Cricetulus griseus: one gene and its partners. The protein of the gene in region 3 purifies or fractionates together with the protein of the main gene of each other region. This does not show direct contact. Links are inferred from orthologs where the notes say so. Each region holds a gene or a part of one and is shown on either strand. Other genes may lie near its edges. The genes, in order: Gcc2, Cttnbp2, Zranb1, Strn, Strn3, Strn4 and Map4k4.

What was found.
Region 1: the proteins of Zranb1 (region 3) and Gcc2 purify together in Homo sapiens (affinity purification with mass spectrometry; 3 studies listed by BioGRID and IntAct, with this or other methods). This does not show direct contact. The link is inferred for Cricetulus griseus from reciprocal best matches to the Homo sapiens genes ZRANB1 and GCC2.
Region 2: the proteins of Zranb1 (region 3) and Cttnbp2 purify together in Homo sapiens (affinity purification with mass spectrometry; 3 studies listed by BioGRID and IntAct, with this or other methods). This does not show direct contact. The link is inferred for Cricetulus griseus from reciprocal best matches to the Homo sapiens genes ZRANB1 and CTTNBP2.
Region 4: the proteins of Zranb1 (region 3) and Strn purify together in Homo sapiens (affinity purification with mass spectrometry; 4 studies listed by BioGRID and IntAct, with this or other methods). This does not show direct contact. The link is inferred for Cricetulus griseus from reciprocal best matches to the Homo sapiens genes ZRANB1 and STRN.
Region 5: the proteins of Zranb1 (region 3) and Strn3 purify together in Homo sapiens (affinity purification with mass spectrometry; 4 studies listed by BioGRID and IntAct, with this or other methods). This does not show direct contact. The link is inferred for Cricetulus griseus from reciprocal best matches to the Homo sapiens genes ZRANB1 and STRN3.
Region 6: the proteins of Zranb1 (region 3) and Strn4 purify together in Homo sapiens (affinity purification with mass spectrometry; 4 studies listed by BioGRID and IntAct, with this or other methods). This does not show direct contact. The link is inferred for Cricetulus griseus from reciprocal best matches to the Homo sapiens genes ZRANB1 and STRN4.
Region 7: the proteins of Zranb1 (region 3) and Map4k4 purify together in Homo sapiens (affinity purification with mass spectrometry; 3 studies listed by BioGRID and IntAct, with this or other methods). This does not show direct contact. The link is inferred for Cricetulus griseus from reciprocal best matches to the Homo sapiens genes ZRANB1 and MAP4K4.

The regions. Positions count from the first base shown.
Region 1 is NW_023276807.1:2,796,179-2,800,047, forward strand, and holds part of Gcc2 (GRIP and coiled-coil domain-containing protein 2), read right to left. Parts: intron 3,116-3,869; coding exon 3,015-3,115; intron 2,928-3,014; coding exon 2,850-2,927; intron 1,689-2,849; coding exon 1,551-1,688; intron 1-1,550. UniProt on the Homo sapiens protein: Golgin which probably tethers transport vesicles to the trans-Golgi network (TGN) and regulates vesicular transport between the endosomes and the Golgi.
Region 2 is NW_023276806.1:208,097,237-208,101,711, reverse strand, and holds the start of Cttnbp2 (cortactin-binding protein 2), read right to left. Parts: upstream 3,043-4,475; 5' UTR 2,934-3,042; coding exon 2,853-2,933; intron 1-2,852. UniProt on the Homo sapiens protein: Regulates the dendritic spine distribution of CTTN/cortactin in hippocampal neurons, and thus controls dendritic spinogenesis and dendritic spine maintenance.
Region 3 is NC_048596.1:67,857,067-67,860,935, forward strand, and holds part of Zranb1 (ubiquitin thioesterase ZRANB1), read right to left. Parts: intron 3,455-3,869; coding exon 3,334-3,454; intron 2,443-3,333; coding exon 2,313-2,442; intron 2,126-2,312; coding exon 1,896-2,125; intron 1,029-1,895; coding exon 810-1,028; 3' UTR 1-809. UniProt on the Homo sapiens protein: Ubiquitin thioesterase, which specifically hydrolyzes 'Lys-29'-linked and 'Lys-33'-linked diubiquitin. Also cleaves 'Lys-63'-linked chains, but with 40-fold less efficiency compared to 'Lys-29'-linked ones.
Region 4 is NC_048600.1:5,374,324-5,378,192, reverse strand, and holds part of Strn (striatin), read right to left. Parts: coding exon 3,712-3,869; intron 1,663-3,711; coding exon 1,522-1,662; intron 518-1,521; coding exon 410-517; intron 1-409. UniProt on the Homo sapiens protein: Calmodulin-binding scaffolding protein which is the center of the striatin-interacting phosphatase and kinase (STRIPAK) complexes.
Region 5 is NC_048598.1:150,592,179-150,596,679, reverse strand, and holds the start of Strn3 (striatin-3), read right to left. Parts: upstream 2,826-4,501; 5' UTR 2,590-2,825; coding exon 2,305-2,589; intron 2,170-2,304; exon of another isoform or gene 1,849-2,169; intron 1-1,848. UniProt on the Homo sapiens protein: Calmodulin-binding scaffolding protein which is the center of the striatin-interacting phosphatase and kinase (STRIPAK) complexes.
Region 6 is NC_048602.1:11,461,644-11,465,512, reverse strand, and holds part of Strn4 (striatin-4), read right to left. Parts: intron 3,474-3,869; coding exon 3,314-3,473; intron 2,778-3,313; coding exon 2,664-2,777; intron 2,340-2,663; coding exon 2,224-2,339; intron 815-2,223; coding exon 639-814; intron 563-638; coding exon 515-562; intron 1-514. UniProt on the Homo sapiens protein: Calmodulin-binding scaffolding protein which is the center of the striatin-interacting phosphatase and kinase (STRIPAK) complexes.
Region 7 is NW_023276807.1:8,322,377-8,326,980, forward strand, and holds the start of Map4k4 (mitogen-activated protein kinase kinase kinase kinase 4), read right to left. Parts: upstream 3,081-4,604; 5' UTR 2,957-3,080; coding exon 2,900-2,956; intron 2,658-2,899; coding exon 2,592-2,657; intron 1-2,591.

The DNA of each region.
Region 1 (3,869 bases), on a different chromosome or scaffold from region 3:
GTCACTATGACATGATCCTTCTCTGTCCTTTCAGAGGCTGATGAAATGAAGTAAAAAATTCTGTTTGTGAAAATGAAGAAAACAGCTTTATCCATTTTAGCCTTGATTAACTCTACTAGAAAGTGAGTTCTAGGGATGGGTATGCTAGCGCAACCCTGCAATCTCAGCACTCAGGAGGTGGAGGCAGGAGGACTGTTATGAATTCGAGGCCAGCCTGGTCTATACTCTGAGTTCCAGGTCAGTATGGGATATAGAACAAGTCCCTGTCTCATAAAACTAACAACAAACAAAACCTCCAAATACTAGACTTAATCAAAACAGAACCCAGTCCTGTTGGCCTGACCCTTTTAAAACTGCTAACTTCATGCTTCTACTACAGTAGACTAACTTATTACTCACAAATTTTATAACGACACTGTTTTCATTCATTACTTTATAATTTTTAACTTATATGTTCTCTTCTCTCCTCTCCCTCTGTCTGTCTGTCTGTCTGTCTGTCTGTCTGGTTTTTCGAGACAAAGTTTTCTGTTATAACAATTCTGGCTACTTGGAACTCACTTTTTTAGACCAGGCTGGCCTGGAACTCACAGAAATCCACCTGCCTTTGCCTCCCAAGTGCTAGGATTAAAGGCGTGAGTTACCACCTCCTGGCCATGTTCTTTTTATAAATAGGAAAAACTGATTCTCAAACACATGATTCACTTGAACTTCACTTTTAGTACACAGTAGTGAGAGTTAAACTGTGTGTTTCTGAAGTGATCTTTAGACTCCCACACTCCTGCCATGGTCATTTAGGGTAAAAGAGAGAATTCTAACAAACCCACAGTAAGTAATTAAATGCTTTGTATGCTGAAATCAGGGAAGTTGACCCGATAGTCATTCTATTAGAATGTCACAATTATTTAAACCTCAGAAAAAACTGCAGTGCTTTCCCTAAGTTTTTTGTTTTTCTTTTTAATAAATATGACATTTTTTTATTGTTGTTTTTTTTTGAGACAGGGTTTCTCTGTGTAGAAATATGACATTTTTACACATATAAATTACAAAACATAAATGAAAGGTAAGTGTACTCATGTTTTTACTTTCTGAAAAAAAAAATATTGTTAAGAGCCGAGAGATGGCTAACAGTTAAAAATACTAGCTGTGCAAGCCTGAAAAACCTGAGTTTGAACCCTGAAACCCATGTTTAAAAATAGCCAGATCAGAAAATATACATTTCCCATCCCTGTGCTCAGATGGCAAATCAGGAGACAGAGACCGGGGAAGCGCATGGGGCCAGCTGGCCTGGAGTACAACGTGCAGCAGCAGAAACAAGACAGACATTGTCTCAATAAGGGACGGAACCATCTCCTAAATATTGACCCCTGACCTCCACATACATGGTGGTATGTGTGTGCTCACACTCACCCCCCCCCACACCCAAAGATGTGAGAGTGTCCATGCTGTTGTTTAGAGCATCTGGCTAAGTGCTCTTAATTGCAGAACACTGCTAAGTGAATGTGGCCCTGCAGTAAGAATCCCAGTGGTGGTTTTGGTCCTGGAGGACACACCTTGGCAGTACGACTCTCTTCCTGAAGTGCCGCCACCCTCTGCTGGTATGCGCTCAGTGTGCGCTGGTGCTGCTCTGCAGAAGTCTTCAGGTGCTCATGGATTTTGTGTTTCTCAGATGTTATCTCAGCCAGTTGAATCTGGGGAGACAGATTAAATGGCACAACTAAATAGTGGTTTTCAGGCATTACAATATCTTTAAAAAAAGAGACAGCATGAATAATGCTTTCTCAATCTCAGCTTGATTTATTTTTCTCTTAAACTAGTATCTGCACAATTAAAGACTATATACGTAATGTTTAATTAAACACCATTAGACATTATACATTAAAAAAAACCAAATATTTGACCACCTCATATATTGCTTTTTAAAATTGTATTTTTCAGTCAGAAGATTCAGATGAAGTTTTTGGCCATGTTTATTTTATTTTATTTTTTTTTACAGGTTCATCTTTTTATTAGACACGTTAACAAGAGGCTTAGTTAAAAAGACCAAAGCCCATGTCATCATCAGACTCCATATTCTTCCTTCTTGGCTTCCACTTTCTTCTCCTCAGCTGGGGCAGCACGGTGGAGGGTGAAGGACCACCTGCTGGCACGGCTCCAGCTATTGGAGCAGGTCCACCAGCCCCTACATTGCAGATGAGGCTCCCAATGTTGACAATGGCCAAGGCCTTTGCAGACTGGCCAGGCCAGAAAGGTTCAACATTGACACCGGCTGCTTTAATGAGGGCATGTTTCAGACCGCGGGCAAGGTGCTAGTCACCAGATGAAGTGAGGGCCTCACCCCAACTTGGCCTTAGCTTCTTCGGAAGAACCACGTACCTTGGCGGCAGCTGAGGAAAGGGTCTGGCCATGTTTATTTTATATTCACTATTCTAGACTATTACAAACTCTCAAATACATGATAGTCATTTAGCACGGCTTCTGCTTCCTCAAAATGTTGAGTAATCTTTCTAAGTATCCCTAAAGGGTAACTTCTTATCTAATAGAAAAATTTCTAACAGGTAATTTTTCTTTTAAAACAAAGTTACTATTTTTTTATGTGTACAGATGTTTTACCTATATGTACCACATGTGTGCCTGATGACCATAAGGCCAGCACAAGACATCAGATTCCCTGGGGCAGAGTGGGAGAGGGGGTCCAGATGGTTGTGAGCCACCATGTGGATGCTGGGAATTGAACCTGGGTCCCCTGAAAGAACAGCCAGTACCCTGAACTGCTGAAGCAGCTCTCCAGCCCATCTATATGGCACTTTATTTCTACATGGAAAAAACTTTTCAAAAGTTAAAAATCTTACTTTATAGACTTCTACTTGCTGTTGGCTTGCTTCCAGCTCACCCTTTAAAGATGCTTGGAGTAGTAAGTGATCAGCTTCCTATAGAATGAGAATCCTGGTTAAATTAAACAATAAAGTAATTCACAACTGTAAGAACTAAAATATGGTAGTGAGAAATTAACATACTGCTTGCTTTGAATCTGCCAGTTCCTTTTTGGTTTTCACAAGGAGCTGTTTGATTTTGGTGTTTTTTTCTTCAGAGTGCTGTACTGAAGTCTGCAGGGAAGCTAGTTCAGGAAGTAATTTCAGCAGAAAGAAAATAAAGAGATTTTTACTAGTGAACATGACACACAAGTGACAATTTTTTTCTTCTTACTAACTTAGAAGAAATTAATTTTATCTCTTCACGAAGGGTTTTTCAAACATATCTGACAATGCCAATCACCCACCTCAAACACTTACCAGCACACCCTGACAGGTTCATCAAAACGCAGCTCACTGGCTACTTTCTGAATATGGGTTAAACAGAGCACACTTAGGCTCCTTCAGTCACATGTGGCCTGCAGTTTCATTAGCCCACCACACCGGTGTCCTAAGGAACCACCACAGGGACTATGTAGCCTTATGCCAAAATATTTACTACTTGGCCCGTTACAAAAATGTGCAAACCTTTGATCTGGATTATTTTAAAGCAAATCAGTTTATTTGTAAATATTTAAGTATATGTAGCTTAAATAAAAGCATACTAATATTTAGTGTATATCTGCCAGTAGTACTTTTTAAAAGTACTTCAAAAAAGCTAGGAGTAATAGTGCCAGCCTATAATCCCAGCAATTGGGAGGCAGATGCAAGATCATGAGTTTGAGCAAACCTAATATATATAAGACCCTGTCTCAGAAAACAACCAAAATGAAATACAGTTGTATCACACAGAAGGCACATAAGTGGGCATTTGCTTCTGTGATAGCAAGTCAGAGGCAAGAACATTTTTGTAGGATGACTGTTAATGAAAGAGTGTTCACTAAGGCACAGATCAAAATA
Region 2 (4,475 bases), on a different chromosome or scaffold from region 3:
TACACTTTGCATATTAGCTAATCCCAAAAGCCCAGAGTGAACACAATGCTAGTCACCTCCCTAAATACAGCTGTAAGTGGATCTCCATTTTCTTCTCACTCCCAAATTCCAGTGACAATAAAAAGCAGATTTCTGTTTTCCATACTGCCTACCATAAGAGTTGTATTCTGAGCAGAAATAGCAATATGGCCTATAAAAGTCATCCCATTTGGCTAAGGCACTGAAAATAACCCAGGCTCCCGGCATGGATCACACTATTAATATGATCCTATTGAATAATGTAGCTGTTAGCCAGCTTTACACTCGAGGTGCTTTCAGGATTTAAACAGTGAAGAACAAGGATAACAAACTAAATTTAAAACACTCCACTGGAAATTATATTAAACTGCAAACTATAAATTAAACCAGTTCCTAAGCAACAATCTAAATAGAATTTTTAAAAAGCCCTCTAAAAACATGCACTTTCAAAAATAGCCAACTGCTTTGGAGGCTTCACTAGCTTGATTCTGCCAAATGTATATATAAAATTCCACAAGACGTAAACCAATTTGAAATGAAATAAATCTCTCTGAGGCAAAAAGAGAATTCCTCACTATAATTAAAAATATATATTAAGTCCTTTGTTGGCAAAATATAGTTTTAATTTTTAACCATTAGAAGAAGAACAAGTATGACAAACAGGATTTCTCTAATTAGCTTTTCTTTAATAATAATAATAATAATAATAATAATAATAATAATAATAATAATAATAAGTCAAAGCCAGGCAGGGTGGTGGTAAGGACTACTAACCCCAGCCTTCAGGAGGCAGAGAGATAGGAGAACCATGATTTCATGATAAGCTTTAGCTACATGTGATCCTCAAAATAATAAAAAAATGCCAGTTTACTCAAGTAGCTAACATAAGAGTCCCCATATTTCAAGTCCAACTACTTGTAAACAATGAAGTCCAGTTTTACTGAATAAAAAGCCACCACATTCTTTCTTAAAAGTAGACAGTTACTTCAAATACCTTAGCACTGTTACTGCAGATTTGAAGCCTAAGGGATCCCTTGGGAATAACGGAGGAGGTCCCAGTCGGTGAGATTTTGCCTGGCTATTCTCCCTCAACCAAAGCAGAACAATCAAGCTGCCAACTTAGCAGCCTTTGAATCGGGCTCCTGACAATTTTAAACAGCCGACAGCAACACTGACCTTGTTGGCACAGCAGTATTCCTGACGATGCAATTTTGTTTACAGTCTTACATATCATAAACTGCATGCTTTGTGTTGGTTTGCCTGGTGGCCGAAATATCTTGTGGGCACAAAGCTGTGTATTCCAAGTAGATTAAACAAACTATCCACCCTCCTGGGGGGAGAAGGAGCGCGACCCCCACACCTCCACTTTCCCCCTCATGGAGAACAGGACACTCAATAGTTTCAGCTTCCCAGAGGGACTTTTGCTTTGATAGCCATTTTCTTCGTTGTCCCCGACTCTCAGAATGAAAGTATTTCTCAAGTGGAAAGGTTTCATTTGAAATATCTTTAAAGTTCTTATTAGAAAAAAAAACCCGCTATTTTTCCCAAAACTTTAGCCCAGAGTCTTCTATTTTCACCAATGGGAATTAGTACCTGACCCCTCCTATTCTCCTCTCGCAGCTCTTGCCTCCAGGTACCTTCCTCCACACCCCTGCCTTCTCCTCCTAGCAAGCCCTCCCTCCAGAGGGGAGGGAATTAAACTGCCCAGGTTGTTTACACCTGGTCCTGCCCAGCCCGGGTCTGGGCTCTGGAGATGGGAGATACGGACCTGGGCGTCCATGCCAGGCTGCTCAGCTCCCTCGGTCCCACTCAGAATCTTCCGAGAGAGCTGCGGGATTTGGCCAAGACTGGGAGGCGCTCCTAGACCTGCCTTTCTTTGCACATCTTTGCCGCTCTGGCAAAAGCTGTTTCCCAGACCTGCGAACGTTTTCCAAGCTGGCTTTGTGGGTTGAGACCCCCCAAGCGGGGCACAGAGGGAGTGGGAACCACCGGGGAGCGTCTGTGCGTGCAGACAACTCAAGAGTACCAAAAAAGGGAGCAGGTAGGCGCCTAAGCAAGAGAGGACGCTAGGGAAAGGAACAATGTGTTGACACCAGGTTCGGAAACCCCAGCTCAGTGCCACTCCGCCTGGGGAAGAAGGTCCCTACCGATGACTGATGGAGCAGCAGGCAGCTAGGACCCAAAGTGCTGGCGCTCAGTTGCAGCAGCACCCACAGCTGGGCGCGGGGCCTCTCCCACGGGGCGTCCTCCCCCCCCCCCCGAGACACACGAACCCCCGCACACAAAGAGCATCTCCACACCTGCCTGGCGACGGACGGGTCGCCTTTCCCTCGCTGCTTCCCCAGGTCTCCCAAGAGGTGTCAGGCACCCCGAGACTAGCATTTGCTCGGTGCCTGGCGGAGCTGAACAATGGGGGTTGAGATCCTCCGTGAGCACCCCAGCAGTGGGCAAAGGGGTCCCCAAGGACGCATGCGGGGAGCTTCCAGAAGGACCGACGGGCTCCTAGCACCTCGGGGGCGGCGGGGGTAGCGTCGCGCTACTCGAATCCGCTTCTGGCCTTGGGGGCAGGCACCCCAGGGAAGGGACATCCGAAGGGCACACCCCGGGGGAAGGAAGGGGCATCCAGGAGAAGAGGCACACCAGGGAGGGGGCACCCCAGAAGGAAGGGGACACCCCTGGGAAGGTGTACCTCGGAGAAGGAAATGGAACCCCGAGGAAGTAAGGGGGCACTCCAGGGAAGCACCGGGCATCCCTCGGGGAGTGTCCGGCGGGGACCGGGGCACCACCCCCAGCCCGCATCTACACCGTTCCCGGAGCCCAGGGAACTCGGTTACCGCGGCCTCCGCCGTGGCCCCCGCCGGGTCGTCCGGGGCGCGGGACAAGTCGGGCTCGCAGCTCGCGCCGTCCGTCGCCATCTTCCTGCTCTAGCGGATCCGAATGCGAGCTCGGAGCAGCGGCGGGGCTCTGCTCTCGGCGCGGGCGGGCGGGCGGGCGGCGCTTAACCCGCTGCTGGCTGCGGCCGCGGCGCTCTCAGCCCCGGAGCCCGGCCGCCCCCTCCCGCCTCCCGCGCGCACCGCCCCTGCCGCTTAACCCTCTGCGCGCTGCAGACGCCGGCGCCCCGCCCACCCGCTAGCCTGCAGCAGCCGCTCCCAAGGGACCAAGAACCAGCAAGCAAGCGAGCCGCGTGGCTTTGAGCTGGTGTTGGGGAGACAAACACCCCAGGATGCAAAAGAAAATAAGCTTCCTTTCCGGAGGCGATGGGCTGACAAACTCTTGACTTAGCAGGACACAAACCGAACTGGATGTCAGGCCCTTGGATGCTAAATCTAAGATCTACGGTCGAGGAACCATCATCCCTCACTTCGACTAGCTCCATCGAGGTGCCTCTCTTAATATTTCCCAACTCTTGCCTTCTGAACACTTCTATCCTCTTGATTTATATACACCCAGCTTTTTTTTTTTAATCGCATCTTCGATGCTCACCCTCTAAAACGATCAACTTTCCGCTGAAAGTCTGTGCCTTGCTGTTTTTAAGCCCCTCAGCTAGGTGCCTTTCTGTTCGATTCTCTTTTTAAGGAAGGTGGAGACCCCCCCCCCAGGGGTCCATCCAGAAAAACCACCAAGTATCAGTGATGTCTTAATACTTTTGTGAGAACAGCAACTTCTCCGTGCAGGTGAAAACCCAAATATACACACACAAACCTTTGACAAAATGGTCGATTGGAAATGCATGGTTGGGGAGTTAGCACGAATGAGTTAGGCCAAGACACTTAACTTCCCCCATCCTGCCTCTAATTCCATTCTTACTTTTTCCTGCCAACTCCCAGAATCTGAAAATTTATCACCTTGCTGAGACCATATGGTAAGGAGGTCCCTAAAGTTCCAGGTCCCTAAAGATGTGTTGAAAGCACAAAATCAAATGGAGGCATTCAAACTGTCTCTGTGATGTCATCAAATCAGTCAAATCAACCGACAACCCAATCCCACACTTGAAATTCTGGAAGATGAATGACTGGAATGTTCAGTCCAAGTGCACAGATCAAAGCCTTTAAAACAAAACAAAACAACCTGCTCCTAATGAGAAGTTCTGACACCTTAACTGCTCAGCTTTCCAAACTGGATCCAAGTATGACACATCAGAGAAAACCTTTTCTACAAAGACACTGGAAAGAATTGGTCAGCAAAATCTAGAAAGTTTGCTCTCAAAAGAGAGGTCAAGGAAACTTCCACCTGAAACTCTGAGGTTAAGGGTCAGATTTTAGGAAGCAGATGGAGGTCATCCTGATTCAGGGCTTCCTTTGTTTATTCTCTGTGGCTTCACTCAGGTGGCCAGGCTCGGTTTGTACTCCTGTTCATCACACAACTCTCTTATTTAATCGAATATTCTCCTGAAATTGCTTAATATGAGACTCTCTAGATTTCTTGTAAGATAAAAGAAAAGCATTTGACAGTAAAAG
Region 3 (3,869 bases):
GCAAAAATGCACCTGCCCAAAGTCGAGTAAGAACCCCTTTTATAGGGCACTCTTCCAAACAAATATCTAAATAACAAAAGGGGCAATTCAGGAAACTTGAAAACAACAGAAACCAAAACCCTCTTCAAAACAAGACAATTTCTATGTAAAGTTCACTGCAAAAAAAAAAAAAAAAAATTGCTAGTTTTCCTTGCAGTTTGTTCCTAAGGATTTGATTTTTATTTTATTGGGCACAACAGGAACTAAATTATTAATAAAATAAAGGCTTGTTTATTTTTATCTTGCCGTGGATAATTTGTACAAAGTTTTCAAATCTCTGAAACAATGGAAAATGGATCTTTTATGGTGGGAGCAGGATATCAGGTTCTAATGAGAGTATCTCAACAAGGTTATCTGCCATGTGCTTTTTATGAGTGCCCATGCTGGGGAAATGTTCTCAATAACATGAAGATGCTGGTGCACTTTTCCTAGTACACGACTTCTTACACAACCACATGCGATACATTCATAGACAGATTTACAATTTGAAAGAAAAAAGTTCTATCAATAAAATTAGGGTTTGGTGTGGGTTTTTTTGTTTGTTTGTTTTTTTTCTTTTTTACAAACTGTAGTTCAAAGTTCTCCATCTCCTCATGCAGATGCACTCGTTATCTCCAGTGGGTGTGGAGCAGAAAGATACTTGGGAGCAGATCCTGCAGGGTGTGGCTCACTCCATGCTGTATGTTCTGCTGAAAATACCACACTAATTAATTTTGGGGTCATCTCAGATCTGATGCCTTGGTCTTTTTGCTCCTTAAGTGCGTTTGTTTTCATTCATCTTCCTCATCCTCATCTTCCTCTCCATCAGACAGGGATGTACAAGGCCGGATCTGTCTGTAGCGGTCAAGCCATTTTTCTACCATTTGTGTGACCAAGGGGTGATTTCTCCGACGCGAGCTTTTCTGCATTGCCACTAGAACTCCCCCTTCAGTCACACAGCAGTCCAGCCACTCTCTGAGCAGTTTCTCTTGCTGCTCCTCATTACCTAGCTTTTAGAGGAATATGAAGAAAAGAAAGTAACACAGCAGCAGGTCAGATGCTTGGCAGGAATAACCTGAAGCTGCTGTGAAAATGGAAAAGTAAAAGCAAACAACTGTTTCAACCTAACTACAACCTTTTGTCAGTTTCATCATTAAAAGCCAGGAGGGTTTTTTTTTTTTTTTTTTTTTTTTTTGTGGTCACAATTAAATGAGGAAATAACCTCTTCATAAAAACTGGGTAATTTACTTGACATAACCTTTACAGAAATTATGAGCTTCAGACATGACAAGGTAAGTTCCCTGGTTAAGTTTACATTTGGGCTAGAATTGTACAAGTCATGGTCTATGAACTATTTTTCTTGATGACTGTGTTTTGTGGTCATTACTAGAATATATAATAAAGAGCCAATAATTTTCTAAAACATAGGCTTTCTGGGTCTTCTTTTATATATCCTCACTGCCTGGTTTACACACTGCTGCCTCTCCATGTTTTTGGCATAAACTAAAGATCCAATCTCTTTCTGAACTTTCTAGCTCATTCAGAACCCTAAGGGCCATGCCCATGCCCTTTTTTTAACTCAGTCCCCTTACAATGCCTTAAAAAAAAAAAAAAAAAAAAAAAGGTGCAGGATAGAGCACACCTTTACCCCAGCCCTGGGGAGACTAACATGGTGGCACCCCTTTTACCTCTATTTAGGTCATAAATTCAATAACCAGCCTGCTGCCTTTTCAATTTTGAAAAGGTCAGTTTTCTCTGACTGGTGTGTGTGTGTGTGGGGGGTACTTGGACAGCTCCTATCACATACTAAAGATGCCACCACTTCTGGAAGGCACAGGAGGTTGGTTTCTGGGGTAACAAGACAACATGCTACTTACCTCCTGAGCAGAAAGGAAGTGCACGTGGAGGAGCTTCCTTTCACTGTCAACCAGAGGCAAAAATGTGATGGTGACATCATCATCAGTGTTCAGATTAGCACCAGCACCTCGGTTGCCATACCCATCATTCTCCATGGCAACCAAAGCAGAGAAGTGGCCCCTTGTATATCCCAGAGCAATTGGACTTTTCCAACAAAAACTCTGTTCCCACAACAAAGGCAGATAAACTCCTAGAAAAAAAGCACAAGAGCAAAAGGAGAAAGTACCTATCTACTACCCAAACCCCACCCCCACTGTTCTAACCTCCTGAAACCCAGCAGCTCCTCTGACCTTTTCCCCATAAGTAAGTGCTCTGAAGCTACAACTATATGGTCATAGTAAACAAAACTGCTAGAGGAATCTTGAGGAATGGCTTACCTTGAAACCGAGTATATCCTAATGTTTCTCCCCGGAAACTCTTATAATATTTTACTCCATAAACTATAATTGGTCGTCTAAGAATATGTGCGAGTACAAAAATGTGTGTCTGTTCCAAACTTGCTCCAGGCTGTACACACACACAAAAAGAAAAGACAATTTACCTTTAAAACATTTATTACCAGTACTGGAAAACTGCTGTGTAAAAACCAATATTATATCGAAAACCTTGGTAGAGAAACTGACTCCCCAAATGACAATGTCCAACAGAATTATAACAAAATCTCCCATGTCTTTACATAGGCATCATTCATATCCAAACTCACAGATGTAGAGAATCTCAGAAAAAAGTTCAGATAGCAAGGGACACTTCATAAAATGAGAAAGTCCTACATGCAACAAAGTTATCATGAAAACAGCTTTACTTTGCACAAAGTCAAATGGCAGTATTACCAAATTAGGTCCATCCTTCAACTATAGCCACTATAGACAACACATGGCCATGAAGTACATTATTTCATAAATTAGCCACCGTGAACACTGCACAAACTGTCCAAACATAAGGAACTTCCCTTCTCAAGGTTCAAATGAACCTGACTGAACAAATGGATATTTGTTCAGAGTAATCCAGACTGCCCTCTTCCCTTAACACATAAATGCAGTCATGAGGGCGTTAATATAAAGAATGTCAAATTCTTTCTCCAAGCCTTATAGCTCAGTTCCATCCTTTAATCTGGAGCTACTGTGAAGATAGGTAAAATGGGTGGAAAGCCTCCGGTATTAAGGAAGAACAAGCAGGAATCTGGACTATACCATGCTTAAAAGCTATCATTAGATCTTTTGTTTTTGACAAATTTGACAGCAATTACCCTGAATTAAGCAACAGTTCTGCAGTGATAAAGCACCTTTCCTTCTCATTCATACTGCTTTCAGCATGTTCTGATCAAACAGACTGAAGAAACTAAGAGCATGTAGATTTCCTCTTTAAAAAAGAAAGAAAAAAATATTGATACAACCTTACCTGACTAGCTAGTGAGAGAATAAATGCCCAGTCTTCTTGCCATTGTTCTTCCCTCAGTGAAAAATGTAAACCAAAGCTCTGGGAATACCACGATTCCCAGTCTTTCCATCGTGTGTAAAACCTAGCAAGCAAATGGCAAAGGAAATGATAAGCAAGCTTTGAACCAGCAATACACTGCTACAAGTGTTTAGTTTAGTTTTGTTTTTATTTTTTTTTTAAGATGTATCTATTATGTACGTAGTGTATGCCTGCACTCCAAAAGAGGGCACCAGATCTTATTATAGATTGTTGTGAACAACCTTATAGTTGCTGTGAATTGAACTCAAGCCCTCTGGAAGAACAGCCAATGCTCTTAACCTCTGAGCCCTATATGTTTTTTTTGTTTGCTTGCTTGTTTTGGTTTTGGGCTTTTTTTGGGGGGGGTCAATTTCTGTCAAGAAATCAATGCCCACGTTCTGGAAAAAGACATCTTTTAGCATATCTCCACAAGAATAAAATTTACCACCCATCTAATTAACTAAATAAAGTGATGAAAA
Region 4 (3,869 bases), on a different chromosome or scaffold from region 3:
GCAACACTGAATCAAGCTATTTACGACTGAACAACAGAATACAGCTATTCAATAACTGAACAATTTAAAACAAAACATAGTTACCAACCTCTGCTTCCAACATGTTTCTATTAATACTCACTCCTTATGATTGCAACAGATCATTTTTATTAGTACTCAGATTTGTGGCTTTAGACTATCTGCTTACTATTAAACAAAATAAAAAAAAACCCATTCCATATTAGTCTTAGCCGATATGAATGAAATGAACAGAAACTGAGTGAAGAAAGTGTTTCAGTGCCTACTCTGTAACTACAAAGCTCCCATTAGACACCATAATTAGCTTACTTAGGTGTTTATTGCTGTTTTAGTTTCTTGTTGCTGTTGTTGGTTTTGCTTCATCAGATGCAAAACCTTAGCAAGCTCTTACCTGTATTGTTATCATAGAACTTGATGTGCCTGTCTTCGTGAGCAGTGATGCTGATTGGAAGAGTGGGATGGCTGATGACTCTGTTTATTTGGCAGGAAGAATTGGCTGCTAAAAACAGAAAATTAAAAATCAGTACTAATTAGTCAAAGTAGTTTTTTTCATATAAAGGAGATATAAATACTAAAACAGAAAAAAAAAAAAAAAAACCAATGAAACCCTAGTCTGGCTGTGGTGCAGTTATTCTCCAATTATTTCTCCAACCTCAGTGCTGTAAAATAAGAGCTGCCTAAGGTACATCACACTGGCATATTTATAGGTAATTAAATGTCAGAGTTCCTTTCCACCACCTGCTATGCATGAATTCCATCTAAGACTTGGCCTAGAGACACGGATGACATCCAAGTCTACACGTTTTGTGATGTTTGCTACCTTAAAGAATTCTATCAGCAGGGCATTGGTGGTGCACACCTTTAGTACCAGCACTTGGGAGGCAGAGGCAGGTGGATCTCTATGAGTTCGAGAGCAGCCTGCCTCATCTTCATTGTGAGTTTCAGGCCAGCCAGAGATTCAGTGAGATCCTTTCCCAAAACAAAACCAAACACCACCAATATACAAATAATCTTCAAAGTTAAACCTCAGTCCCTTCTAACATGCAGCTCTGTTCAGGTAGCTGTGATCTAAATATATCATGAAATCAAGGGCTTTGCCTCCTTACTTGTTCCTCTTTGCATCATAATAGAAAAGACCATCATCTTGCAACCCACCAGATTTTGAGTTTTTAAGCATACTAATTAATTGTTGTACACTATCTAAGAATTTTTGAAGATATTAATTACTATAGTAATTTATAGTTATTTCAATATACAACAGAAAATGCCAGGTGGCCACATGGAATAAATTCTTTGGGTGCAGTTTTTCTGTTGTTTGTTTTGATTGCTTTAGACTGTGCTGAAGTTTACCCCTTCCCCCCCAAAAAAGTTTTCTATAAAGTAAAAGTGTCTTTAGGTTTGGGCAATAGAACACTATGATTTAATCATTCTTCACATCGACTTGGGCAGTTACACTTTTGATTAAGAACAAATAGAGAGACTTTTAAAGATTGGTATACATACTTGAGTCTATCTTGGATTCTAAAGTGAGGATTCGCTGCTGTGTCTCCATGTTAAAGATGCTTGTATACCCTTTGCTGAATGATGCTACCATATGGCTCGGGTCACTGCTCACGAGATCCACCGAAGCAGGGATTCCCAGTTCTAAGTGTCAGAAATATTCAGAGAGGATGACAGTTAAAAGGTCTACTTGAGAAAGTACTCAAAATGCAGCAAAACAAAACTAAGCATGATTTACTTTAATCAATCAGGCTTAACATCAGAATAAGTTATTTTAGAACTGTTCACAGAAGAGTATTTCTTTTCTAACTTTTAGCCTTAGTCTATTTTATTATCCTTACCTGTTAAATGTTTTCTACCCATTATTCTGCTAATCCACTCAAAGAATGCAAACTTATTTTGAAAGAAAATAAAACACATGGACCATAAGTTTTATAGCTTCCACTTCCATTTCAAGCATAGAGTAACACAGTGGAAATTCAGTATTTTAAAAATCCATCTTGAAGAAAAGAAAACAACAATAACAAATCCAAACTTAGGTTGGAGTGCAGCTCAGTGGTACTGTGCTTGCTAGCACAGAGTTATGTCTTCAAAGTCTAAGTGCACATTGTGACTTTGCTGAAGAATAAAGTTGTTCTGGGCCTGGAATGTAACTCAATGGTGGAATATTTGTCTAGCATGCAAATCACCACACAAACACGAAAAGTTATCATCAGGGGACAAACTTGGAACTCATTTATACCAAAAACAGAATGATAAAGCCAGTGTGGTAGCATACTCCTTAAATCCAAGCACTTGGAAGTGGAAGCCCAAGGATTGTGAATTTGAGGTCTGCCTGGGCAATGAATTCAAGGTGAACCAGAGCTACATAGTGAGGCACTGTCACAAGAAAACAAACAAACAGAATGATAAATATAAAAATAAAATAATGTTTCATTTGGGTCAACACCTAACCAAAGCAAGGTAATGATTCAAAACTGTACAGCAGAAGTTCTAGGAATAGTCAATGAAAAGCAAGAAATGGTACTCAACCAAATATGCTGTCAAAGAATTAAACACTGAAACAGAAGGGAACCAGAGTGACAACATCAAGACTGAGTGAGGATGCAGAGCAAACTGACCTCACACAGGCTGCAGCCCAGGTTATAAAGTGCCATGAGCACTCTGGGAACAATGTGGTCATTTCACTTAACAACAAAACACCCACCCTAAAACCCAACAAGTCTACTGAAAGGTCTCTACTACCCATGATGAAAATTTATGAACCTTCATAATAAATTATTCCTAATAGGCCCACACTGGAACAACAGTAAATACTACCAGATAAATGAATAGGTCGTGGAAATTATGACTTTTTATAACAATTTTGCTCATAACAGCCTCGGTGTCTATCAGGAGATACATGAATAGACAGACCATAGCTTAATACAATACTCTCACATAATAAAGGGAAATCAACTGACACTGAACTGCACAAACGTTACAGTAGAATAAAAGCCAGGCACAGAGATAACATCCTAAACTGCTATTTTATTATAGGTGAGAATAGACAAAACTAATCTATGATGAAAGTGATCTTGACAACAGGTGCCGCTAGCTGGGATATGTAACAGGGACTGACTAAGGTCACAAAGCAGCCCAGGGAAGGGAAGAGATGGTCCCACTCCAGACTGATACCAGCGCCAGGACTGCACCAGTTCACCTCACGCATCAGAACACATCCTTGATGCCCTCAATCTTCAAGGAAAATAAATTACGTCTCACTTTTTAAAATGTAAACCCCATCTTCTCATCAAATGCTGAGTTTTTTTATTATTTCAATTGTGTGTGTATGTTTGTGTGGTATGTGCACATGAATGAAGGTCACTGAGGTCAGAGGTGTGAGACACCCTGGAGCTGGGGTTAAGGCAGCTGTGAGCCACCTGATGTGGGCATTGGGAACTGAACTCAGGTCCTCAGGAAGAATAGTATGTGCTCCTGACCACTGAGCCATCTCTCCAGCCCCTCAAATGCTGTTTTTAAGAATTATACATACACTGAAATGTTAAGCAACAATGTTGGTGCGTTAAAAAAAAAAAAAAAAAGCCTTAAAATTTATACACTCAAGAGTTTATAGAATCATTTATTTGCTTGCTTTTTCAGAGTAGAATGTTTAATAAAAGATCTGGAAGTGTTTAACTTTAAAGACTATACCTTGGTTATCATTAAACACACTCAGTGCCGGAGCAACCTCGGTTGTATTCCATAAACGTAAAGTGCCATCTGCTGAGCAGGACAACAAGCGCTGGTGTGCCGCGCTGTAGGCCAGCCCCCACACAGCATCTGTGTGGCCCAGCAGAGGGCCTCTCAGA
Region 5 (4,501 bases), on a different chromosome or scaffold from region 3:
TCAAACACCACATAGGGAACTGATGGTTTATCAAGTAAGCACAAGCCTCAATGCATTTTTTTAATGAATACTTTAACCTCAGTCTAACCACAGGGAACATTAAGCAGGCATCACACCGTACTAGAAAGTTGTATGTCCACAAAACTCTAAATCCAAGAATATTAAAGTAGACTCTACAAATTAAAAAAAAAAAAAAAACACTCAATTTTGACAAGCTTTCTAAAAGTTGTAAAACACAACTTTCTAAACACTAAAGTATTCTTAAGCACAATTTTAAGACTACCGAATCAACTAAAGGTGTCAAATAAAATATGTAAAAAAAAAATTTAAGTTTAACTTAACCCACTTTGTGAAGTAAAATAAAAGTTTACTGGCTTGCTGGGTGAGGTGTAAACCTTTAATCCCGGCTTTTAAGTGGCAAAGCAGATAGATCTCTAAGAGGGAAACCTGCCTGTTCAACACAGTGAGTTCCAGGCCGCCCAAGAATACAGAGACTCAAAAACAACCACACCAAGAAGTGGTGGTTCATGCCTTTGATCACAGCACTGGGGAGGCAGAGGCAGGTGGATCTCTGTGAGTTCAAGGCCAGCCTGGTCTCTAGAGCGAGTGCCAGGATAGCCTTCAAAGCTATGCAGAGAAACCCTGTCTTGAAAAACCAAAAAAATAAATAAATAAACACAAACACACACAGCTGGGGGTGGTAGCACACACCTTTAATCCCATCACTTGGAACACAGTCAGGCATGGTCTACAGAGTTGAGTTCCAAGACAGCCAGGGACACAGAGGGGAACCCTACCTCAAAACTAAAAAACCTACAACAAAAACTCACTGGTTTAATCACTTGTCTTGCAATCCTTCTGTCAGCGAAACAATATTAATTTTTAATGTTTCTTTTACTTTTCTGTTTGAGACAGATTCTATGTAGCTCTGGTTGTCCTGGAACTCTCTTTAAACCAGGGTGGCCTGAACTCACAGAGATCACCTGTCTTTCCCTCCTGAGTGCTGGGACTAGAGACATATGCCATCAGATATTTTTAATTTTTGAGTGAAATTCTTTATAATTAATGTAACAAAAAGTTTACTGGTTCAAAACCAAACTGAAGACTCATGTTTGAGAACACCTTTGCTACATTAATCAATCTTCCCTTTTCAACATTACTTCTTCCTAAATTCACCAAAGGTGTATTGTATGTGTGTGTATAATACCGGACAATATTGCTTACATCCGAAATTCCTAAGTCTAAAAAACAGGTGCAACGTTTAGATGCATGTTTTTTTTCTCCTAAGTTTAAATTATACCCTGGGAAGGAACTTAAAACTAAATACATCTAACCTACAACTCAACCCTTTCAAAGAGATGCAGCAATTTTAAAAATTCAAGGCATAAGCCCGAGAAACTACTATCTTCCAAAAAGTTAGGATAACTCAAGCCTCTCCGAGGTTCACATTAAGCAGACACCCAACTTCGTCTTAGCTTGTACTAAACAAAAAGTACGTTTTCCTTCAAATTAAGACCAAGTCTTTCCGCAGACATTCCAGAAATACAGTACAGGTAGTCTAGCTCTGCTTTGCATGAGTAAAAACCAGGCAGTCGGTGAGAAGGAAAGTCTAGAGAAACCAACTCAAAAGAGAAAAATCCAGTTAAGGGTGATGATGAATCACTAGGCGCTGAAGGAAAGGCGAGTGACTAGAGCGGCATCCCGGGTATTTAAAAGTTGGGGGTGGGAATGCAAACTTCGCCGGCGGGCCGCAAGCCATTGTGCGAGGTAGTAGCCCGAAGCGGCGTGGCTGTCAAGGGGCAACTGCGTACCGCGGCGCGGGGGTGGGGACAGGACGCCGCATCGGAAGGGGGTGCCGGGGCCAGGAGGCCAGACACTCAGCCCGGGCCCTCTCCGCGTCGCCTCGACCTCAAGAGGACGACAAACAAGCGCCAACTCAGTGCCCAGCGGGCCCACGCCAGACTCTCGCTCACAGGCGCTGGGCCCAAGCCCGGAGGCCCAGTAGGCGCCACCGGAGGAGCCCCGCAGACGCCATGCTAAAAGCCAAAATGGCTGCCCCGAGGATGCCCGCAGCGCGCTGCCTGTGAGGAGGGAGCCGGCCGCTGCGGGAGCGGGGGAGGGGGCGCCGGCCGGGGACGCGGTCACCGCTCGCCAGCGCGAGCCTCTCAGGTAGGTCCCCTCGGCCCTCAGGGCGCGGGCCCCAGCCCGGCCGGGCCCCACCCCCGGGCCGCGCCCCTGCCCCTGCCCCTGCCCTGCCCCTGCCCCTGCCCCTGCCCCTGCCCGCACTCGACCCCGGCCAGGTACCTGCAGCTCGGCCCGCTCCACCTCCCAGTGCGCCCGCTCCATCTCGAACCGAGCCCACTCGTGCTGGATGTAGTGCAGGATCCCCGGGATAGTGTACTGCTGCGGCCGGGACAGCTCGGGGCCTGCCGGGGGAGCCGCCGCCTCAGCGGCCGCCGCCGGACCCCCGCCGCCCGGCGCTCCGTTGGCTCCCGGCGGAAGGCTCAGGTTCCCCCCGGGTCCCTGCTGCGGCCGGGGAGGGGCCGCCATCCCCTGGCCGCCGCCGCCGCCGCCGGCCAGCTCGTCCATTGTGTGTGCGGCCCCGGCCGGGGCGCGGAGCGAGACACCGACAGCTGCGGGGAGGACCGGGACGGTGGCCCCGCGCCGACGGCAGGGCGGGGGCCGGCCGGGAGAGGGCCGGGGAGGGGGGTCGCCGCCGTGTGCTCGCCGCGGATCAGAGCAGGGAGCTGCCGGCCGCCGCCATTACAGTCCCTCCTCCATCTGCCCGTCTCACTCACTCACTTTGGGGAAAGGGGGGCCGCGGCGGGAGGAGGGAGGGAGGGAGAGAGGGAGGGGAGGGACGGGTGAGGAGGAGAGACGTAGGGCCGCCGCCGCCGCAGCCGCCGCCGCCGCCGCCGCCGCCGCACGGCACGCTGGGTAGCGAGCGCCTCGGCGGCCGCACGCCGGATAACCAAATAGAGTCCGGCCTCACCCTACGCAGGCGCGGCAAGGACGCGCCGCTCTTTGGGCGGGGAAAAGCCCGGGCCCCGCCCCCGCCAGGGCGCCCGCCCCCTGCTTTCCTACTTCGCCCCAGTGGACTCCCGGTGTGTAGCCGTGCCTTTGAGGGGCGCGCGGGCCTCGCTCGGGCTTGCGGGTTGTTAACTTCAACGCAGACGCCCTCAGGAGCAGCTGGGTTCGAGTCCGGCTTCGTACCTCCCTGGAATGCCTGACGTTTCTCTAGAATTCCCAGCGTGTTTTGCTCAGACCCAAAGGGTCGAGCCTCTCTCTTCCTCTGCCTGTCACTCACTTCACCTCTGGTTTCCTAGCACCAGTCAGTCTCCAGGATTTAGGGGGACGTTCACCTTTTGCAAATGCCCCAGTTTCTTCCGACTCTCTCACTGGTTCCTGGGCTCCGCCGCGACCTGCTTCTTTGGTCCCACTTCAGTGCTGCCGGCTGCCTGTTGTAACTTGTCTTCAGTCTTTATGAGATGGGTTGTGTTTTGGGGCGTTTAAGAGATTGTTTCATTCTTTTACTATAGAAGAGGTAGTGATTACTGAGAATGGTGGGTGGACGGGAAAAGATAACTTTCAAAGACCCCCATAGATGGACTCTGATGTTTAGAAGTGAATGGACTCAGATACTGTCATTAGTGGCAGAAATACTGATTGAAACAGAGAATAAGAGTATTGTGAATACAACTTAAAATGAAGTAAATCAACAACAACGGTATCTTCATCGTTAAGTGGTGTGTGTGTGAAATAATACACACACAAAAGGTCGATTTTAAGTAGTAGGGGGTGCGTTTTTCTGTGCTTGGCTTCAGAGGAATTATCCTTATGAATTCACAAGTTTTTAAAGCTAATACAACTGATAACCTGGCTCCCAGACATGGCAGCCCATGAGGCCAGTCTGGTCTACTGATGGGTTTCCAGAACAGCCAGCAAAAGAAAAAGAAAAAGAAAAGAGCTAATAACCATTTGTTTGCACAGTAAGACAAAAGTAATATTTAACAGCATGATGAAGAGAGAGGCCGTATGTACAGCTATATAGGAAATTGCATATTAAAGTGGTTGCGTTTTAAAGTTTTATTTTCATTATGAAAGCCTATAAAATATTTTGCTATGGAGCCAACTCAGGATGGAATTCCAGAGATAAAGTAATACACTTTGTCATGTCTGCTGCATAGTTATAATTAATGAAGAACTGGTTGGATCTGTCACACTTACTCTTACTGCCGTATTTATGTATGAAATGAGGCCTTAGCTAACAATACAGTTTCTTTACATGACTAGAGTACTGTTTCTTCACTTAATAACCATCAGCATACAGCTGGTCATTCAGTCCTAAAAACTCAGAAATACCTTATACGTGTCCTCAGGACCCTTTCATGTGCACATTGCGAAGCTCTTTCGAAGGCCTGGGGTCCACTTGTGTGATGATTGTATGAAAAGACCAAGATACGCATTTCTGTTTCTCGATGTACCTGACAGTAAGGCGGAA
Region 6 (3,869 bases), on a different chromosome or scaffold from region 3:
ATCTCGCTCTGGAGACCAGGCTGGCCTTGAACTCAGAGAGATCCACCTGCCTCTGCCTCCCCTGTGCTAGGATTAAAGGCATGCGCCACCATGCCCAGCTCTCCTAGCTATTTTTAAAAGTTTAATTTATTTATTGTCACATATCACAACGTGCACACGGAGGTCAGGGGACAATTTTCTGGAGTTGATTCTCTTCACATGGACCCTGGGGAGCAAACTTAGGTTGTCAAGCTCAGTAGGAGGTATCTTTATCCACTGAGCCCTCTCATCAGTCTCCTTTCCTAGGTATTTTTTAAGGATGCCAAAGGTAATTTGTCATCTACACTCTGGCTGTGCCACCTGGGAAAGCTGCCTGTCTTCTACCCTTTCACTTTACTGCTCAGAAGGGCCTCAGTGAAACCACAGAGGGCCCAGGATGGCGACTGCTGCTCCAGGTCCCCAGGGAAGCAGGCAGCAGCCTCGGCCGTGCTGCTGGGTGCAGGACTGAGACAGGCTCAGGCATCTATCTCCCTACCTGTGAGCGCGGAAAGCATGAATGGGCTCCACGTCCAGTGCAGCGTTTCTGTGGGAAAAGGAGGAATCTCGTCACTGAGACCCCAGGTCCCAGGGCCCCGCCCCTTCCAGGATGGCATCCTTACTTCTTGGCTGTAACTGCCTTCTGAAGGTTCCACAGCTTAAGTGTGCCATCCTCAGAGGCAGTGAGCAGTGCTGACTGGCTGTGGTGGAAGGCCAGGGAGCGGATGCCATCGTAGTGTGAGCGGAGGGTAAACTTAGGGTTCCATGTCTTCTTGAAGGCGTCTTTGCTGTCAGACAGCTGGGGATGGGAAGCTGCCTCAGTGTCCTCCTGTATATCCCAGCACTCGTACAGACACTGACACCACCCACCCCCTTCAGGCTGGAACTGACCAGTCCCAGCCTGACTTCCCTTCTGCAGGCCCAGAAGAGCCCTTCACATACTCAGCAGGTTTCAGCAGTATGGGATTCTGAAGGGGCCAAGCGAGCCTTACTCTTTGGGGCCTCACAGTTCAGAGGCCCCTCAGGGAGACAGACAGGTCCTAAATGCATAGAACCAGGAACTCTGAGCATGAGAAGGGGACACCAAGGCAGTCTAGCTTCCTCTGCAGGGACCAAGAGGCTCTTGTGAGGTAGTGACAAACAAGCAGGACTTAACCAGCATCAGGCAAGGGGAAAGGGACTTTAGAAAGACGCTGCGTGTGCAAAGGCCCTGAGGCAGGAAGCTGGGATACACAACATTTAGGAGCAGGCCACACGAGAGGAAGCTAGAGAGGTCAACGGCAGGCAGAAGAGCGGGTCCCGCTCAGAAACCCGCAATTTGTTCCATCCCAAGCAAAGGCCCTGGAGAAATGAGAAGCCACACGGGGCTGCAGAACAGTGGGATGACAGCAGGTCTCAGCCTTTCTAAGGAGGCTGGGATTGGGGGAAGGTCAGAGTAACTGCAGATAGGTCTCCAGGCTATAGAGCCCTAAGGAACAAGCCCTGAATGGGGAGCTTGAGACAGTTCCCTGGCAGGGGAGGCTGGGAAGCAGACCCATCAGGCTCCAGGAGAGATGCTCTGAGCATGTGTCCTACAAGGGGAAGCTACTCACTGCGAGGAGGCAGCCAGGTTTGGGAAGCTCAGCACCTTCAGACCCCCGTCACCTGGGCTCAGTTGGCATTTCTACCAAGATTCTTAGGAACTGGAGGATCTGTGCTCAAGTGGGTTCCCCATTCCCTGCAGCACCGTGGGGCAGCCTGAGGAACCCTGCAGTACACTCCTGCTAGCCTCACTTCTGCATTCTACACTAGCCTCCAATCTCACTGGGGTCAGTCACTTCATCTTCTGCCCTGGAAAAACGCACCCAAACTTAACCCAGAAATTCCCGGTGACCTGTGCAAGGTGCACAGCACAGAATGCCAGTCACCGGGCCCCTTCGTCCCAGCCCCTGTTCCACTCACAGTAGAGACCCTGAGTTGGAGAAGCATGGCTGATAATCATTTCCCCACCCCCCCAAAAAGGGAGGAACGAAGAAACCCCTGTGCCTTCCAGAGCTTGCACCTCAATGAGGTGTTTGCCAGACACCCCTCTCTAAGGCAGGGTGTGTTAAGCCTCCTGCTGGGGCTACACAATGACCTCTCACAGTCCTCACATAAAAGGAACAGAACCCAGACCTGCAACATGGTCAGAGCTGAGCCAAGAACTGATGGGGCGCCCCAAGAACTTACATCACAGCTGAGGTCGTTGTCATTGGTGACGGTGAGATCTGCCAAGTCCCCCAGGCTCACCTCCCCTCCCCCGATAGTGTCCATGATGAAGACGTCTGAGGAGAAGCCAAAGGAACCTGGTAGGGGGGAGGGGTGGGTGGGGCAGACAGGGCCAGGGAAAGAGAGAGAGAGGCAGAGAGAGGCAGAAAGGATAAGAGAGGCAGGAAGACAGGATCAAGAATTGCAGCTGGAAAGGAAGACAGGGACAGACGGACAGACAGACAGGGCAGGACAGACAAAAAGAGAGGGAAACAGACAGACAGACGACCTTTTGGGACAGGGAGGCTGCAGACTGGAGACTGGGCCTTACCTCTCAGGACACAGAAACCCCGGGCTTAGCTCTGCAGCCCCCCGCCTCTGTCACAGACCCCAAGTTACTAGGGTATGGGGCTGGAGATTACCTTCATGAGGCCGGGGCTGGGGTGTGCCAGGAGGTGGGACAGTCACTTTGGGGGGCAGCCCATCCACATCCCGGAGGTCAGCAAGGATTCCCTGGAGTTTGACCCGACGGCTTTCTGCACGGAAGAGGCATGAGCAAGAATCACCCACCAATTCTCCCCAATCTTTGCAGGGGAGGGGGGAGAAGCCCACCCCAGTGCTGCTGGCCTTCCCATAAACAGTGGAGGCTGTAAAGCACTGACCCCGGGAAAGACAGACTGGCAGGGACCCAGTGAGAGGTGGCAGGCAAATCCTGACTCTACCCGAGGCCCAGGGGACCCCAAGGCCCTTCTGGCCAGGAGTCACAAGACAGGAAGACACAACCCCACCCCCCTTCTCCACCATCAGTTTTCATCCTGTCCCCTGCTTGAGCTGGACAGGACTGGACACTTGCCGTGAAGGCTGGAGCTGACTTCTGGCAGGGCCACTTGAATACGGTTTGCAGGGACTTTCCAGGGAAGGGTATGGGCCTGGACCTGGCTTGCGGCTTGAGCTATCCTTGACCCACCTCAGGAAGTATATCCGCCTGGGCAGAGCCCCAGACAGGAAGCAGCTGAAGCATGCAGGGTCGGATCCTGTCTTAGCCAGGCCTGTAAGTCAGTTCCCAACTCACCCAGCTCATGAGGGTTCCCCTCTGCAGCACAACGTCGAGGGTCTGGAGATCCCTCACCATCTTCTCCTGAGCCCAGGAAATCAAACTCATTGATGGCATCTTCTGAGTCATCTTCCTCATCCTCACCCTCCATTTCAGGGACCAGGGCCTTGGATGGGAGCTAGGGTGGGGAAACAAGTGGGGGAAGGAATGGGGTCCAGAGGTCAACTCCAGCTGGTCCCTGGGAAAAGGCAAGCCACCTGCTCACTTCCCGAAGCCTAGATCTGGAAACTGCTGTGGGACCTCCTCCACCACAGCACTGGGCCCTCTCCTCTCTCCTCACAGCTTTGCTGAGCCCCTCCCCAGCACATGGCTCTCAAGAAGTCAGACAACACAAGCCCTGGAGGTGTTCAGAGACACGCAATGGTGGTGGTGGTGGTGATGATGAACAGAACCTTCTATTTTCACTCTGGGCATAAAACTAACAGTGGTAACACACACTTGTCACTCAGCTGTGTGCTTAGCAAGAGCTAGTGACTCACAGAAGGCACTTACAGACATGGCTGCACTCTACCCC
Region 7 (4,604 bases), on a different chromosome or scaffold from region 3:
TATAAGGCAGAAAATAATCAAGGAAGACACCTGACATTAACCTCAGGCCTCCATATGCCACCCACATACATACCATACATGGGGGTATACACACACAGACATTCACACATGCATATATATACATATATGTGTATGTGTATGTACATATATGTGTATGTATATGTATGTATGTATTATGTATGTATAAAAATATATGCATATATATAAATAGAAAATACAATACTGAAATAAATTAGAACTCTAGGTTGTTCGGCTAATGTTTTCCCTAAAAAATGTTTTTCTTAAAATTTTTCTTTATAAATTATAATAAATTCTACTATTAATAACCTAATCCCAAAACCACTCCATGCCAAGCAGCTAAAAATAAACAAATAAATAAATAAATCATTCTGTACAACAGTACTGGATCTAAAAATTATATACTTAAAGGGAAACAGATGCCATTTCTAGGAGATGTTACCTGTTCATAAACCTGCTAGTGGCAAGGACTGGGGCAAGCATGGCACACTAAAGAAAACCTGATGAGTTTCCAAGTATGGAATAACGCTGTGATAATGTTTAAAAAGGAGGAAATACTTTAGTATTTATCAATCAAGTGTTATCTTAAGTTCAAAGAAAAGGAAAGGAAGAAGACTATATATGAAACAAAAATCAATGGTGCTATTAAACTAAGCTATAAAAACATGCAACTTGATTCCTTAGATTTGCATAGAAGATGCTTCATCTGCACAGTGTGTAGTCCAAGAACACTAGGGAATGTATCCCTAGCACTCCCCAAAAGCAATGCTTAGCAAAGCCTTGGGGTAGGAAGGGTGGGGCCAAAGAAAAGAGGAGGAGAAACAACAAAGAACCTGCCCAAGTTCACACCACCAAGTGCCCACCTCTTAAAACCTTTTTTATTCATGCTGGCCTTTTAAAATTCACCAGTGCCTTCCAGCTTACTTCACTACCCACAGTTTCCACGCTGACCCAGGGAGACACAAACAATCCAACTACTGTGTAACCAGGTCAAAAACAAGCTCTGGCTAACTCACTTGGAAGAGTCTACTCACCACTTAGATTTGGCCAGAGAAACTGGGTTAGAAAAAAACCAACCAGTGCTTAAACAAACACTGGAGCTGGGAAGAATGTCTTTAAGCCACTCAGAGAGTTGCAACACAATCTTTTCCAAAATTTTCCAAAGCCTTCCAAATTCAGTTTGAGCCCAGCAGCCCTGTTAACAGGGCTGCCTTTCAAATTCAAAAATCTGGCCTGGACCCCAAAAGTTAACCAACAAAACAAGCTAATTCACTTGAGATCACCTAAGAATACTGACTCAAGTTCAGACCACAAGCCTGTCAATACCATCATCCAGGTCCCAGGGTGGGAGAAGGGGGATTCTAAAGCTGGGAGAAGCAATCAGGAACACACAAACCCTATTCATAAAACAGAAAAGGGATAATAGAATCCACACTTAATTTGGCCTCAGAAAATGTCTACAGTCAGCTTCCACCACCACCCCCATTTTTAGTGAAACAATCACAATTCTTCATGGTGAGCCACAAAGCCCTCCTTCATAAAATAATCTTCTGTAGCTCAACCTTGACCCAGTCCTAACAACTAGAGAACTCCCCCAGCAAAGACAGCTTCCAGAAAACTTTTGGTAACAAGAAAGAAATCAAGAAAGATAAAGTTCTTTTTCTTTCCTTTTCTTTTTTCATTTTGGAGCCTGAGCGTCCTTCTAGAATATACATGCAACAACTCAACAGAATGAGCAACACAGTTAAAGTCACATTAGGCACCAGCTACCCAGCACAGACTAACCAGGCTCCAGAATGCTTAGTTTCATTTGTAGCTGGGCGAGGAGGGCAAATGTAAAGAAAGAGAAGGACCTGGGGTGGTGGGTGTGAAACCTGGCACCCTCTCTGCTCCTCCTTCCTCGCTATCTCAATTACACAGCTGTTACACAGGTTATTCCTGGAATTCAGATTTTATAATCCCCACACTGTAATTCTTCCTGCTCCTGTGACCCAAACACACACTCCTCCGGCTTCCCCCAAAATACTGTCCACCAGAAGAGGGTAGGCTGGCCAAAGCTTTAAAAGCAGTCCCAGGTAACACCAAACTCCCCACGTTAAGTCCTCTGGCAAACGCTCTTAGGCAAGAAGCATGATGACAATTCTCAAGAAGACCAAGCCAGTTGGTAATCACAGACAAGGCCTATCTACACTAAATTTTAATTCACAAACAAATGCAAACGCACGGAGGTCAGATTTGGAGAAAGGGGAGGTGGGGTGAGGGGGGAGACCCTCTGGTCATCTTTGAACTCAAAATTCCTTTTCTATTTTGCTGCAGCAAAGTGCATGCCTAACAGTGTAGCTTATTTCCTTTATCTCAAAGCCAGGAAATGAGGTCCTTTAAGGCCAGTCTGAACACAGTCGGCAAAAAAAAAAAAAAAAAAAAAAAAAGAAAAAAAAAAAAGCCAGGCGAAACCCCTTTCCCAACTTTGGCCAGGCGGCATGGCCTCCAGTCAGCAGCGTCTTGCCACCCTTTCCCTCGTCCCCTAAGAAGTTTCTCCACGCCACGGGGAACAAAGGCGCCCCCACACCGACCTTATAGACTTGTCCATAGGTGCCATTTCCAACCACTTCCACCAGCTCAAAAATCCCAGCAGGGTCCTGGAGAGACACGAGGGGGAGATGATCATTTAAAAAGGGGGCCCCCAAATGAAGAGACAGAGAGGGGCGGAGGGATGCAGGGCGGTGACAAAGGCTCTGGCCCCGCCGGGTCCCCGCCGGCCAGGAGCGCCGCGATGAGTCGCGCCCGAGTCCCACACCCGCCCGCACCGCCCGGCAGACAAAGGGGCCGCCGCGCCCGCGGGTGTCCGCGGCCGTGTCCACCAGGGCGCGGCCACACTCACCCGCAGGGACGAGAGGTCGATATCCACCAGACTCTTCGCGGGCGAATCGTTCGCCATCTTCCCCGGTCGCCGCCCCGAGACGGGAGCGACAAGCCGCGGCGGTCAGGAGCTCCGCGGCGCCGGGGCACGGGCCGTACGGGCAAGGCCGCCGGCGGGCGGCGGCGGCGGCGGCGGCGGAGGGCGCGGCGTCTCCTCGGAGCGCAGCGAGCGCGGGCGCGGGCTCACACCATGGCGCGGCGGCCGTCAGCCCCCCACCCACCCCAGCCCCGGGCGTCTCCCGCCGCCTCGGCCCCGGCGCCCGCTCGCCCGCGCGCGCGCTGCCGCGCCGCCCGCCTTGGAGGAGCGGCCCGGAGCTGGGGCCGCGGCGCCGCCGGAGAGTGCGGCGAGCGAGCTCGAGGCCGCGAGACAAAGATGCCGCGGGAGGCGGGGGCGGGGCGGGACGCGGGGCACCGACCGGCGCTTCTGAGGAGGAGCGAGCGGCTCCCCCCGCCTCCTCGTCCTCCTCCTCCTCCTCCGCCGGGAAAGCAAGCGGCGGGCGGGCGGCGGCGGGCGGAACCCGGCTCTAGCCCTCGCCCGCGCCCGCGCCGCGTGAATATTCAGCAGGGGTGGGGCTCGAACAATGGCGGGGCGCCGGCCCCTCCGCGGGATGGCGGCCGGGCCCAGGGTGGGGCTGGGAGTCCTCGGGGCCTTCCCGGAGGAGGTGCGGGACTCGAGGGAACGCCCCTGCCTCCGCTAACAATGAATGAAGAACACGGGGGAGCCCCGCGGGCCGCGCCGGGGAAAGGGTGTGCCCGAGCGGGCTAGAGGACCTGCCTCGGTCCCCACCCACCTCTCCCCAGGTCCCCGCCGCCGCCTACCGCCTGTGGGTCCCGGAGCCCCTGGTTTCCCTTTCCCCCACAGGGTTTTCCTTTCCTTTCTCTTTCCCAGGCTCAATTTGTGGCATGGTTGCAGTTGGAGGATTCGCTGAGCATCACTTGACTGCCCGGCCGAATCCCAAACAGCCCCTGTAATTGCTTGTTGCTGTGTTCCTGACAATGTGTGGCCGGTGTGCCCTCTGTTTAGGATCTCAGGGCCGGGACAGTGCTTAGTACCTGGAGATCACCACGGGTCACCAAACAGGCTTCTCCCAGCACAATGGAAAGCAAGTCAGCTAGCCAGTTTAAATACTGTTTCATTAAGTCATCTTCATCACATTTCCGGACCAGCCAAAAGCGTGTTTGGTGGCTCCCTGTTAGCTTACAACGGGTGTTCTCTGGAGTACCCCAGAATGACCAGGTAGTATTGCAAAGAAGCTGATTTGAGGATTGACTCCCACATGCAAGAGGCCTGGAAAGGGACAAGTTAGCCGATGAAGCTAAGCTTGGTCTTCCACAGTGCCACCAATATCAAAATCCGAGGTGTTCCTTAGCTAAGCTTCACAGACATGGGCAGCTATTGTTACTAGCAATTCTGCACCTACTTCCCTCCCCACACACTCATGAACTGTTCTAAGTTAAGCAGTAGCCACATTATAACCTCAGAGTTAAAAAAAGAAAAAATACTAGAAGGGTTTTACACAAGCCCATTAAGAGCCTAGTGTAGAAAAGGAGTGGGGATGCTCTCTAGACCGGCCTATACCCAAAGTTCAAGTCAGCTGTGCCCGGAGAATGTTTAGCACTCCCCTGCCTCCTGATCATTTGCATTCCAAGATTTTTGACATGAGACT